Struthio camelus: one gene and its partner. The protein of the gene in region 1 interacts with the protein of each later gene in a pairwise test. Links are inferred from orthologs where the notes say so. Each region holds a gene or a part of one and is shown in the gene's direction. Other genes may lie near its edges.

Region 1 (7,184 bases):
CCTGATGCACCAGACTAAAAATAATGTCATCAGAATAAATTCTCTATAAATGTTTTCTAAACCCCTTGAATTGTGATTATCCTTAAAACTTGTGTTCAGATGGCTCCTGTCACGCAGGCAGAATGAGGGCTCCAAGTGGCATGAATAACTGCCCTTGGCAGCACTATTCACCAGAGAAGTAGCTAAGTTGGGGTCCTGTATGTTCTGACCTGCTCGAGTCACAGGTCATCTATTCACACCAGCTGCTGCAGTGTCCAGTAGAATCTCCTGCGTTACTTTTTAAAGCCTTCTATATGCAGGGACAAAAAATAGATCAGAAGACTCTCACATATGCCATGAAGATCCTTTCCTGACCTGTGTGCTGCGCAGTCACCTTCTCCTCCAAACTCTTTCCAACCAGCCTCACCTCCCCGGGCTGTTCCAAGGGTTTTGCCTTTGTTTTTACGAGTGAGCCTGAGGTTGTGGTGTTCCCTTCTGCTCATCCTTTGGTAGGGCTGGTATGTTGGGATATGTTGAATCTGGAGCTAAGACTCTGGGAATTGCAAGGGAGCTGACAAGTGACAGCTTAAAGGAGGAGTCAGATTTGGGAGTCCTGATAGTAGGCAGAATCTGTATCTGAACCTGAGCGAACGGGCTGCTTCTCAGAGAAGCTGAACACTGTCTTTGCCTGGAACCAAAAGGAAGGATATAGGTGCTCAGCATCCCTGGAATTGAGATGCCAAGCTACAGGCTGCCAATAAATAAATAAAAAGCTGACCTCTGTTCCCAGGCTGTAACCTATTCTGGCTTGGAAATACAACATTTCAGATGTGGAAGGATATGTCCCTGCTTGAGCAGCCCATCCTGTGAGCTGCCGTCCTCCAGGGAAGCAGGGTGGTTACGTTCCCATTTTCACGGTGCGGCTCTTCATATGCCCTCAGAGAGCTGTGTTCACTTTTTAAATCACAGCGCTCTGTACTTCTGACACTTCCGTGCTGGATTGCTAAGTACCGAAGCTACAACATGTGTTTGTCCTCTGTTCCCTCCTGCCTGATCCAGTCCATCCTTAGAGAAAAGTCTCACTCTTTCCTCGGCCTCTTGAGCTCTCCTGTCGTACGCTGGTTGGAGGGTACTTGAGGCTGCTTTTGATACAAACTCCCAGCAGAATTTGTGTGACTGTCCGAAAAAGGCTCCTCTCCGAGTCTGCCCTGCTACAGCTTTGTCCCTTTGTTTCTCAGGCGTAAAGGGTGCCTGCCTTTTGCACGCTGTCTCCAGCTTAGCCGGCCAGCCCTCGTTCAGCCACACTCTTAGGAAATCTTAGTGGAGAGTTAGACCTGGCAGATGGAGGCCTGTTACCTCACTCCACAAAAATGCTTTGTTATTGAGAAAATGGAAACTGTCTGAGGTTTGGGAGCTGAATAGGATCATTGGTGTCTGTTTTAACCGCAGTTTGGTCGTGGCTGCTGAACATTCCCCTAGCCGAGCATTCCCTTTTTCTACACCCATAATCTTCAAGTCATCGGAGAGCTGCAACGATTTAACTCATTAGCTGAGTGAATGCTGAATACTGTTGCATACTCTGCAGAAACTTCACTAAAACCTCAGCATCTTCCAGCAAAAGAAAAAGGGCTAGCCAATAAATAACCCTTTGCAAACTGTTCCCCAGAAAAGCGATTTCCTACAGATACTAAGCCAAGCTCGACTCTTTTTTACAGTCTCAGCTGTTCCCTGTGTTTACTCTGATTATTTTAGAAAGTTGTATTAAATTATGTGGAACTTCTTGGAGAAAAAAGAGGGGTATGCATGGAGGCTTTGGTTTTGTAATCCTTTAACACAGGTATCTCAATCCCAGTTCTGAAGAAAAACTTCTGTGCATCAGGAAATTTTAAAAGCAGGTTTCAGCAGTCTCCTGAGTGCTGGGAGGTCAGGAGGACAGGAGAAAGAATAAAAACAGGATTCAGCTCTTTGCAAGCTGGTTTTCATATTGCTGTGAATGACTTAGGTTAGTCAGTACCAGTTCACAAAAGGGCATTAACCTAAATACAAGCCTTGTGTTAGTTAAGATATTTGTATGCATTTATGAAACTATGATATCTGATACCTCCTGCTGAGAAGATTGCATAAGCATTATTCACCAAGCACCCTAGCAGAACTGACAGGAGCAGTGTTAGCATTTTGGAAGGGAAATGAACACTTTATTTATGTATTTTTAAACTAATGAATCTTAGCAGGCCAAATGAATGTCTTCCAGCTGCTACAGATGTTTTACATGACTAAATATCTTAGTGCATAGAAAAACCTAGAATATTGGAACCACAAGATTATAGATATTTAATTATTGCCCTGGAATGTAAATATGGCCTTGATATTTTGAATTTGTTTATCTAGTTTTCAAGTGCTCACACAGAAACCCCTCAACAAATACAGCTCCTAGTTTGTTATCTGGGAAGAAGAGTGATTATTCAGCATCTTCTACATGTGCCTTTGAATATCAGAGTGGATTTTAGTAACAGTAATTTGCTTAACTGCAGAAATAATCCCAGCTGGTTCCAGGCAGAACCCAGGATCAGTGTTTTAGCTATAATGAACTGTTTCCGTTTGAGACCCCCTACTCTCTGTGGGTTTACAGTGTGACCATAAAAATCCTTTCCAGGCTGAGCTCTGGCTCCTGAGGTCTTTGGGGAGGATCTTTTTTTTTTTTTTTTTCTTAATATAAAATGAGAATTGTAAAAACAAATGGCAGTTTATTTGCAAACTGTATCTTCCCAGTTTAAAGCCCGTTCTGGCTGTGTGTTGTTCCTGTAACCCTAAAGCAACCTTATTTTTGAATAATGTAAGCCCACAGGATTTCCCTCATGTGAGTGTGTTAGAAGTTGGATAATTTCTGTTGTAGGTCAGTCAGTGGCTGCAGATCATGCCGTTTGCTACTAAAACAGCATATATATTAACTTAGAACTGTTGTGGAAAAATGTTCTGGATTTTCAGGCTCAAAAGATGTTAAATAGTAATAATATAAAATGTTGAACTGAAAGGCCTGACTTCAGCGTGGTTGAAGACAAAAAAATTCCTCCTTGAGGTCTGCAGCTGAGGGCGGTATTCCTAGATGTTGCCTAGGATGCTAGGATAGTGAAGAACCGAAAAAAGCAGATCCTGAACTGTCTTTGAGCACAAAGACTACTTCTGAGAATCACGATCCCAAGTACTGGCCTAAACTACTGACTTTTGCCATGCTTTTGACCTTACCTTGGAATTCCACTACCCTCATTTAAGAAGAAAATGGCTTTTCTGCTCTTCAGAACTAACACAGTTTGAACAGAGGTATAACTCTTGGGGTTCCAGCATTCCAGTGCCTTCTTATGAGTCAACTTGCTCATTTTTAAAGCTCCAAGTTTAATTACCAGGAGTATCTAGCAAAGACACAGTGTTATTTGGACAAAAGATCTGGAGTGCAGAGTAACTGCGCAGGAGTGTGTCCATCCGTCTCTCCCTCTCCTTTTCCCGTTTCTCAGAAGCAGTTCGGTCTGTGGAATCCATTTGGACGTGGGTCTATAACGTGCATCAGTGGACTTTGTGGTTTCCAGGTGGATTGGGATAGATGCTCCATGTCAGAAGAGGAAATAAGCTTTCCAGCTTAATCACTGGACAGGACTCAGATTTTGGTTCTATTTTTAGCTCCACCAGGCATGCATTGTGCCAAAACCCTCCAGGGTGTAGGTCCCAGGAGGGAGGTAGAGTAACTCCCTGCCCTGCAGGTGCTGTAAGAGCAAATAATGTTTTTGCTGGTGACATCTTGCAGGGAATGGAGGACGCAGTAATCCTATGAAAGGTACAGGATTTTAGGTCTGGTTAACTCTGGAAACTAAGCACTCTTCCACTTACGATCTTGCACTGGATCATCACATATGTTTGTGTTATCTGCAATAGGGAGACAGGGAGCTAAACTTTCTGTTTAGGGACGCTAATATTTAGTTCATATACTGGAATGAGAATTAGGTCATTTCACCTGCCCTTTTCTCAGCATACGGGCGGGCATTTTTACATAAAGAAGCCAGCAATGAAATCTTAAGGTATTTCACTAGCTATCTTACACTCAGTGAAAACTTTGATACCAAGAAAATTGCTGTAATATCTCATTCAGAGTGTTCTGGAATATGTAGAGTGATAGTGGTACTTACCAAGGAGTCATTAATAGCAAAAAGTACACAATGTGTTGCATGGAACTCGACCAAGAAAAGTTTTATTTCTTGTATTTCTCAACCCTATGCAAACGTCATGTAAGTCACAGGAACATTAAGCCTGGCCCCCTGAGCCTGTATAAAAGTCTTGCATGTGTTGTTTTTGGAGACCCTGAAGAGTTGTGTGTGGAAAATCACAAACGCGTTTCAGGTTGGTGAAGGTGTTAGACCATGTGCTCGGATTATATCATGCTTCATGCTCTGTGGAACAATGACTCAACTAAGGAATGGTGAAATCTGTGCTTTCAGATCCTTTATAGTTTTGAGTTTTAATTTTGGAAGAAGATGCAGAACTGGAACTCTGATTAAGAGGGGAAGGGGGCAGTCCCAAAACGTTGACTAAGTGGACCCCCAAGTAGATCATTCTGTACTAGTCCTTTCCAGTGGAAATCGATGCGAGTTCTGCTGCTGACTTCGTTAGCACCGAGACCTGTTAGGAAAGGCTTATTAATAATGATGTTTATTAGCATTTAACTTTCTGTTATGAGTTTCGCTTGTACATTCTTCTTTTCTGTCATCATGACATTGGCGGGGGGAAAAAGGGTTCAGAAGTGTATTATATCTGACAAAATTAGAATCTGGAATTCTTATGTTTCTTATGAAAGTTTAGAGTAACTTTAATTGTAAGAGTCTTAATTTCCAGCCGCAAGTAATGAAATCTGAACCTCCGTAGGAAACGCAATCCCTGTGCTGAGGTCACCCTCTGGTTTATGATGTGACTGCTTTTGTTTCTGGGCAAGCGCTCGGCTGTTTTGCTAGTGCAGCGATGATTTAGTAGTGAGAGGCTCTGGTGTGTCACACCTGCTGTAACCGACTCCGCGAGAGCCACCAGGAGAGCCAGTCCTGCCTTGGCTTCCTGCGTCGCTGCAGCCGCTGAGACCGTGCTGGGTGTTACGCCGATCCGGGGCGTTCAGCAATGCAAGGTAACGGTTAAGAGAACTGGTCTGAGGTTTTTGTTTGTGGGGTTTGCCGATTTGGGACAAATGCTCTGTAAATAAATCATTTTTGTCTGGATCGGTCGGGGGAGCAGAGGGGAGGGTATCCAGGTGGTGGTGTTCCCTTGCCGAAGGGAAGCCTGCAATCCTCCAACCGCCCGAGCACGCGACCGGCGTTGGGAGCTCTTTCATCGCGCCGGGGCACCCCGCCGCGCTCTCACTCCAGCGGACGCTTTCCTGGGACGGGCGCGGGCGGCTGCTGGTCTTTTCCGGCAATGAGCGGGAGCAGCCTCACTGCAGCTAAGAAATCGGGCGTTTCTTCTTGTCGTCTGCTTCGGGGCTGCAACGTCAGCTCGTGCTGGTCTTTACCTGAAAGCCTTGGCGAGAGGGCCCTCTGTGCTGGCACCCTGGCCGTTCAGTTCTTTGGTGTCGACGGCGAATCTGCGTCCTGTCAGTCGCCGTCCAAATCCCGGATTTCTGTGAGAGGATGAGGAGCCACAGGCCTGCATCAGGGGCTTTCTGACATTGTTGTTCCTTCCCTGTTCGTGCAGGGCGCCTGCTTTCTGTGCAGCAGCCGTTTTCATCTCTTCTCAAGTTCTTAGGCACGGTCAGCGCAGGCGCTTCCCCGTGCCGCGGGCCAGCAGCGCTGCTGGGTGCTGCGGTCCCAGGCTCGATGCCGTCGGCGTGGCGAGCAGCGGCGCTGCTTCTGCAGGGGCAGACGTATTGGAAACTTGATGTTTAGCTGGGTCGCGCGAAGGCGTTCGCGTTTAACTTTGTGAGCGTTTGTGCCCGTTTGTAATAGCTGTTTCCACTTAGTTTCATGGATGTGGCGACAGTTTTCAGCATTGCAGCAGAGCGTGGCAGAAATCGGAAAGCATGTCGCTTCTTGCAAATCTCTTTTTAGTCCTCACGAGGACTTACTTCTTAGAGCTTTTACGTAAAAAAAAAAGTGACGATTATAACTGACGGCTTCTCTTATTTAGAATGTGCAATATTTAAGAGTAATTTAAAAGGGTGTCAGTGAGAAATGCTCTAACAAGGAGACTGACTTGCAGATAACTAACTGTGTATGGCAGAAGTAAACGACACCTGGGGACCAGCTCATCAAGCCAAGAAAGCATCAGCTGCACGAGGTGGAAACTTGTTTCATTTTTGTGTTGGCAAGGCAGTGGTTAAAAGACGAGAGTGTCCTCTTGCTTTCCAGGATCCCCTGCCGGTCTCCATTGGGCAGTTCCTTGCACTCTCCAGGCTCAGCTCTGCTGCCCTTGTAGAGTTACCTTTTTCCAGGACGGCTGCAGCTGGCACATGCAGCATCTCCCAGGCAACAGATGATCTTAGTTTTGTTTCAGACCACAAGCAAGCAGTTCTGGGGATGGTAACCTGAGACAGCCAGTCTTTGCCAGGATTCAATCCTTCCCCAGATTTAGAAGGTGCTGATATGCTGGGGGTTACAGAGTTGTAATTGCCTTTCCTTGCAAGGGACACTAACGGCTGTAAAAGGTCCTTTAGACAGAGACTGTGCTTGCTCCTCATAGGAGGCCAGCACACAGGTGCCCACAGTTCCTGATTAGACAACAGGAGAGACGGGCTGCTGGAAAGAACGTGTGGCACACAAGTGACATTTCTGTGTCTCCCCGCCACCTTGCACCCAGCACTTGCTTCGCTCCGCTGGTTTTGCGTGCCAGGAGAACAGCCTGGAAAGGCACAAAAGTGCCAGGGCCATAACTCTAGGTTATCTTTGCAGTTGGTATATCTGGTTGTATGCAAGAATCCAACTACAAATGCTTGAGACTGGGAAACAAAGAATCAGCTCAAAAAGGGAATATTTTGACCAAATTAAGGGGAAAAAAACAATCTCTTTGCTCTTTAAGTAATAGCTGTGCATTAAATGAAATGTCTGTTTTATATGTCTTTGCTTGCTCCTGTAAGTAAAAGCTGCTTTGTTTATAAAAACTGAAGTTGAGCAGACCTTTAATCAACAGAAGAGCTGCCAGGCTTTCTGGAGAAGACAGTTAATAAGGGACTGGGTTCAGAC
Region 2 (6,954 bases), on another chromosome or scaffold:
ACACAACACGACCCACCATGTCACGGCATGGCAGAGCATGACCCACCATGGCACACCACAGCCTGCCACGTCATGGCATGACACAACACGACCCACCATGTCACGGCATGGCAGAGCATGACCCACCATGGCACACCACAGCCTGCCACGTCATGGCATGACACAACACGACCCACCATGTCACGGCATGGCAGAGCATGACCCACCATGGCACACCACAGCCTGCCACGCCATGGCATGACACAACACGACCCACCATGTCACAGCATGGCAGAGCATGACCCACCATGGCACACCACAGCCTGCCACGTCATGGCATGACACAACACGACCCACCATGTCACGGCATGGCAGAGCATGACCCACCATGGCACACCACAGCCTGCCACGTCATGGCATGACACAACACGACCCACCATGTCACGGCATGGCAGAGCATGACCCACCGTGGCACACCACAGCCTGCCACGCCATGGCATGGCACAACACGACCCACCATGTCACGGCATGGCAGAGCATGACCCACCGTGGCACACCACAGCCTGCCACGCCATGGCATGGCCTGCCACGTCACACCATTGCCTGCCATGTCACGGCTTGTCACGGCCCGCACGCCGCGCCCCGCGGCAGCCCCCCTGTCACGGCAGGACACAGCCCCCCCGTCCCGCCCGGCCCCGCCGTACCGGATGACGCGCAGGACTACGGCGCGGTACCGCAGCCGGTCCGCCTGCACGTGCGGGTTGGCCAGGGCCCGCCGGAGGTCCCGCAGCGCCTCCTCGCCGCCCAGGTACGGCATGGCCGGGCCGGGCCGGGCCGAGCGGGCCGCGGAGCAGAACCGGGCCGCGGGGCAGAGCCGAGCGGGACGCGACCTCGCGCCGCCCCGGGGCGGCGAGGCACCCGGACTCCCCTCGCGGCCCTGGTGCAGTGCGCATGCGCTTGCGCCCCCGCCCCCGCCCCGCCCCCTGACGCTCCGGCGCCGCCCCCGCCCGCGCCCCGCCTGCGCCTGCGCCGCGCCGCCCGCCGAATTGGGCGGGAAGCGGCTGGGCGGGAGCCGCGCGCTGCCTGCGCGCCGGGCCCCCTGCCGGCCCGGGGGGGGCCGCCGCCGCCGCCATGAACGGGACGGTGATCCCCGGCACGCCGATCGCCGTGGACTTCTGGAGCGTGCGGCGGGCGGGCGGCGCCCGCCTCTTCTTCCTGTCGCACCTGCACTCGGACCACACGGTGGGGCTGTCCAGCACCTGGAGCCGCCCCGTCTACTGCTCGCCGCTCACCGCCCGCCTCCTGCACCGCCGCCTCCAGGTACGTGCCCGGGGCCGCCCCGCCCGGCCCTCACCGCCCGGCCCTCACCGCCCGGCCCCTTGCAGGTGCCGGCGCGCTGGATCCGGCCGCTGGAGGTGGGGCAGAGCCACGTGCTGGGCGAGGGCGACGCGGGGACGGTGACGGTGACGCTGCTCGACTCCAACCACTGCCCCGGCTCCGTCATGTTCCTCTTCGAGGGCGCCTTCGGCACCATCCTCTACACAGGTACGGGGCGGGCCGCCGCGGCCCCGCCGCCGCCGCCGCCCGCCCTGACGCCCTCTCCTCGCAGGGGACTTCCGCTACGCCAGCGCCATGCAGCAGGAGCCGGTGCTGCGGGGCCGCCGCCTCGACCGCCTCTACCTGGACAACACCCACTGCCACCCGGGGCGCAGCCTGCCCTCGCGCCGCTGCGCCGCCCGCCTGGCCGCCCGCCTCATCCGCGCCCACCCGCGCCACCACGTCGTCGTGGGTGAGGGCCACGGCCTCGTGTCCCTGCGCGCCCCGCCTCAGCCAGGCCGCCTGCCCTCGGCCTCGCGCTCCCCCGGCGCCGCCTCCCCTCGGCAGCACTTCGTTCCCCGCAGCGCCTCTCGGTGCCCTCTCGGCACCCTGCCCTCAGTGGGGCCGTGGTCCCCTCAGCAGTGTGTCCTCCTCAGCCTGGCCTCGCGCTCCTTAGCATCCTCCCGGCAGCGTGGCCTCGTCCCCCTCAGCGTGGCCCCCTTGCAGAGCCTTGGCCCCCTCAGCATGGCCTCGCGCTCCCTCAGCATGTCCCTGTCCCTCTGCTGATGGTTTTACTTGCAGGTGTGTACAGTCTGGGGAAGGAGACGCTGCTGGTGGATTTGGCGGTGGAGTTCAGCACCTGGGTTGTGGTGAGCCCCTGGCGCCTGGAGCAGATGCGGCTGCTGGAGCTGCCCGATGTGTTCACCACCGAGGAAGGGGCCGGCTGGATCCGTGCCGTGGACGTTGCTGAGATCCGCTGGGACACTCTCGTCAGCTGGAACCTGCTGCACCCTACCATTGCCATCCTCCCCACCGGCAGGCCTGTGAAGGTCACCCACCCCAACATCTACCCTATTCCCTACTCTGACCATTCATCCTTTTCAGAGCTCTGTGAGTTTGTGAAGTGGCTGAAACCATGCTCAGTCATCCCGATTGTGAGGGGCAGCATGTGCCAACTTTACTTTGAGAAATATCTGAGTTCTGATCGCCAAGCACTTCCTGACCTCAAAATCCCAGAGCCTGTGCAAGAGTTTGTACAGCAGAAAAAGAAAAAGAAAGGACAGGAATCTGTGTGTCCATTGAAAAGAGCTGCTCAGCGTTCTGTGCCTCGAGGAGTTGTTTTTGAATCCCCAGAGAAATATACTGGCAAGTCTGAAACGTTTAGGGATGTTAAGGTTCATCAGCAGAACTGTGAGTCAGCTTTCTGCTCCAAAGAAGGCTGCATTTGTTGTCGCACATGCAAGGAGAAAGGGGAGGAAATCAAGATGGATATCAACAGCCACAGTCCCCATAGCCAGTGTACACCAGCTCAGCTGAATGGAGAACAGCCAGCAGTAGTAATATCGACTAACCTTGTTAGCCAGTCACCTGTTTCTGATGAGACTGTTCCATGTGGATTGGCAGAGCAGTATTTACTCAGTCCTTTAAATGTCCTAAAGCAGAATTCCTTAGAGAAATTTGACAAGCTGGTAGAAGAATTCTTTAGGAGGGAGGAAGCATCTGGAAACTCATGACACTTGCCAATGCAATTAATAACAGTGATCCTGACAGTCTTACGATTGCATCCCGTTCTTGGAGTTTCCCATCAGGAGAATGCTTAACTATGAGGGTTTTATTTTCTTTACTCTTTATTAGCAGAGAAGGCAGCAACTTGAACTAGTTTGTATATGTTAGGATTTCTCTTTATTTATTTTTTCATTTGTCTAGCTATGCCAGGGCTTCAGACTACACTCAGGTGGTGTAGTCCCACTACAAGCATGCCCTATATTTACATTTTGCAGTGACTTATCAGTCTTGTGGCAAAAGATATTGCCAGATTGATTCAAATTGAGCAGCAGAGGGCGTGAGCCATCTGCAGCAGAACTAACGGGTTTGAATGTAATGAGAGAAGCAAAAAAGGGGAATCTGAGAGCCCCAAATGTTCCTCTTTCTATATTTTGCAATGCCTCATTGGCGATGACCAATTCATTCCAAGATGCATTACAAATATTATGTATTAAACTATGTTTAAAAAAAGATACTTAAAGAAATCTAGAAAATGAAGTGCCTTTACATCTATCAATGAATCACTGGAATTCCTCCAAACACAGCATTGCTTTTGCATCTTGCCAACTGCAGCTGGCTGCAGCTCTGCTCTTCTGAAAACACTGCATTAATGTTAACTATAAATGCTCTTTCAGGTCACAGGCTGGGAAGGTAGGAATTGTGTGGATTCTTGGGTTTTGGACCTTTCAGAATGGCTTACTATAGCCTCTGCAGTCTCTGCACTCAAGTCTACATGTTTGAATGTTTCCGCTTGACTGCAAAGTGCTTCTGGTAACTGTAAGCATTCTGCTAGGTGCATTGCTTTCCCATGGACTGCCTGTTCTTTCTAGCCAATGGCAAATGGGATAGGAGTTAATGAAACATTTGCTCACTGGTGTAAAGCATTAAGTCTTTGTGGCGTTGTTTCAAAGTGCTGGAATACTGGGGCTAAACAGCAAAAATGGCTCTTTTAGCTTGGAGGTCAGGCACTTCTGCCTCCGCTTGGAGGTCAGGCACTTCTGCCTCCACTTGGAGGTCAGGTCAACTGCAGAGAGCCTGCAGCCTGGCTGTCACAATCGGGAAGTGTCAGCAATGTGACTAGCCAGGGGGTACACACAGCGAAGTCTGAAAACTTGCCAAACTGCTCTGGCAACAGATCACAAACTGGTTCCCCACAGGGTCGCAACAGCAGCGCTAGAGTGGAAGCAGTCACTGGGCTCTTTCCTGGAGCACCAAGCCAGCTTGTTACTGAACTTTTCTAACCTTCCTGCCATTACTTTCCACACCAAATGTTTCACATGCTCCTGGTCAGGATTAGAGTCTCTCCTGCAAGGTCTCTGCAAGGCCAGTCAGCTAGATAGATTGAATTCCCTGAATCAAGCCAGGTAAGGAAATGTTTGCTCTTTGAGTAAAGCTAGGGCTAATGAGAAGCAGAGGTGCCTGTAGATGCGGCAGCCACACCTGCTAAAAACAAGGCTGTCTTGAACTGTAATTGTGATGACAGCCAGCGTGGGTATGTTTGGAAAGCTACCTGGTAAACATGAGTCCTAGCTCCCAACCCTGTGCCTTACTGGCACTGCAGCATTATCACCGTAATATCAGCAATGCCTCTTAACGGGACCAACTGTTGACTCTGCTTGCTGGCTGCCAGTGTTGGAAGGGATGGAGCAATGTTCTGCGTTTTGCCTTACAAATACTCTTCTTCAAAAGTGGTAGCAAGGACAGCTCCAGCCTCTTGCCATGGTCTACATGTCCCATTTCATGGAGATTTGTGTGGACTATTTGCTGGTCAAAATTAAACTGCAGAGCCCCATCAGCTCAATGTCAGTGGAGGCGCTGCATCTTTGGTAACACCTGAGGCTACCAGCAGAAGCATTGTCCTACGCTGGCAGTGGTTTGTCTGCTGCTGGCTGCCTTGGAGATGCTGGCTTGTATTTTAACATTGTTGAAATTTAAATGATTCATTTGACAGGCAGGTGAGTGAAACAGTGCCTGAACTCCCAGATTCCAGGTCCTGCTCTCGGCTTGCAGCCTCTCCGTGGCTCAATGAATGCTTGCATTCTGAGTCACTGCTCCATTTAGGTATGTGGCAAATGACCTCTGAGATTCGATGCATTTTGCTAATGATGTTTTGTGGCATGCAGCCTTTTCTCTTCTATTCTCATCATCCCTAAATGAAGTAGACAACCTCCAGGTGAACCTCTGAGCAAAATGGAGTAGTAAGAGCGTTAGTGCTTTGCAGAGGCCACAGAGTTCTTCAGATCACACACACAGAACTGAAAATTGCAAAGACTTCCAAAGGCTGGGAATCTGTTCCACATTTTCTGAACTTCCAGTTAAAACTGCAGAAGAAATGCTGGGTTCTGCTACTGGAGCATAAAAGGTAATTCCTGCCACTTCAGAAGGAAATTATCCAAATTATGTAGAACTAGGGGAAAGCAAAACCTCTCCATAGTTTTGAAAGAAAATACAGGCAGGAGAGTCTTGACCAACAGTCAGCATGGAGATCCTTGCACAGCTAGGTGCGTGAGGTGTTTTAGAGTGTAAAATGTGTTTCCTCCTTCTGTTAGGCATAAATACTTCTATTGTGTGTTATCCTAAAATCCTGACAAACAAAACATGGCCTTCTGGGGAAAATTGTGGCAGTGACCTATGGGGGAGCTCTAAGATTTCTGAGAATCCTTCAGCTACCTCTCGAGCCTCCTGGCAATAAATAGCTGGCCACTTACAGGCCTTGTTCTCCCTTGTGCTTGCCTCCACAAGTTCCCTCTGTTCCTACCACTGGCTTAGCTCGCAGGGGGAACGTTACTGCAGTCAAAGAGCTGGAGCGTCGTGTACACCGGGTCTGAACCTGATGCTTGCAGCTCCGCTGCATGGAGCTCTGTCAGAACTGCTACTGTGGGTGCATTTTGCTCACAGCAGTGACAATGAGGGCCTGTAGCCAAGTGTTAGCTGTAGAGTATCTAGCACCATGTGTGTAGAAACTGTGTTATAATCATCCCTGCAGGAAAAATAGTAGGGTGCTCTGTCCAAAGCCCTTCCAGATCTAAATACACAGAGCATGCTTGAGCTGCTTATCTGTGTTCCACAGTTGGCCAAGCCCCAGTGGGATGAAGCAACTCACCCAAAGTCTCACAGAGTCTAAAGAAGAGGTAGGAAAAGAGCTGAGTTCCCCTTGGCAAGTGCCTTAATCACAAGGCTGCCTATTTAGCTTTTCAGCACTATTTTAACAAGCTGTGATCAAACAGTAGCCTGTCATGAGGGTAAGGCAGGCTTATGGTGCTGGGAGCAGGAGCTGTCTGCTGAGAGCTCCTTCCGTGCAGTTGCCAAGCCAATCAGTATTCTATGAAACAATTTATTTGGCTCTAGCTTCTCTATAACTGTGTAGAAAACCATGAAGGAGTGCCCTAGCTATCCTATGGAGAGAAAGAAATGGACTTAGGGATTTAGGTCCCCAGTAGGAACAGAAGTAATACATAGCTTGCGTGCTCCACAGCAAACAAGCATAATGTAGCTTTGTAGGTACCACCCTAAAGCACTCTTCTCAGTAGTGTTCAGAGCACTGCTTCCCGTAGTACAAGGCTAAAACAACTCATGACTTCACTTCTGTCTTCTCTGCTGCAGAGTTGTTGCCCGTTTCTGTAGCACAGAGTCTGTCTTGTTGCTATTTTCTAGATATGAAGATTGTGTAACAGGGAAATCCTCCTTTTCTCGTTCACCAATAAAATTTATTTGGGGAGTTTACATAATTTCCTGTGCAATGTGTCATTGCTTTACACTCACGCCAAATTAACTTAAAACCTCAGCTGTCGGGCTTTGTGCTCTTTTTGGACTCTTCCAAAAGAGCAATAGAATGTATAGAAAACGTAGAGTCACCCTGATGTCACTTGAGGTGCATCCTTCACATGAGCTGCT

What was found. The genes of interacting proteins can lie anywhere in the genome.
Region 2: the proteins of FHL3 (region 1) and HIPK1 interact in binary tests that used the Homo sapiens proteins (3 or more experiments, as listed by UniProt). The two-hybrid records come from large-scale screens. The link is inferred for Struthio camelus from reciprocal best matches to the Homo sapiens genes FHL3 and HIPK1.

The regions. Positions count from the first base shown.
Region 1 is NC_090964.1:11,190,313-11,197,496, reverse strand, and holds the start of FHL3 (four and a half LIM domains protein 3), read left to right. Parts: upstream 1-4,178; 5' UTR 4,179-4,184; coding exon 4,185-4,365; intron 4,366-4,892; exon of another isoform or gene 4,893-5,130; coding exon of another isoform or gene 5,131-5,137; intron 5,138-7,184. UniProt on the Homo sapiens protein: Recruited by SOX15 to FOXK1 promoters where it acts as a transcriptional coactivator of FOXK1.
Region 2 is NC_090965.1:9,909,627-9,916,580, forward strand, and holds the start of HIPK1 (homeodomain-interacting protein kinase 1), read left to right. Parts: upstream 1-3,931; 5' UTR 3,932-5,422; intron 5,423-6,954. Other genes in the region: DCLRE1B (5' exonuclease Apollo), read left to right, coding at 1,111-1,299, 1,365-1,524, 1,589-1,768, 2,098-3,029.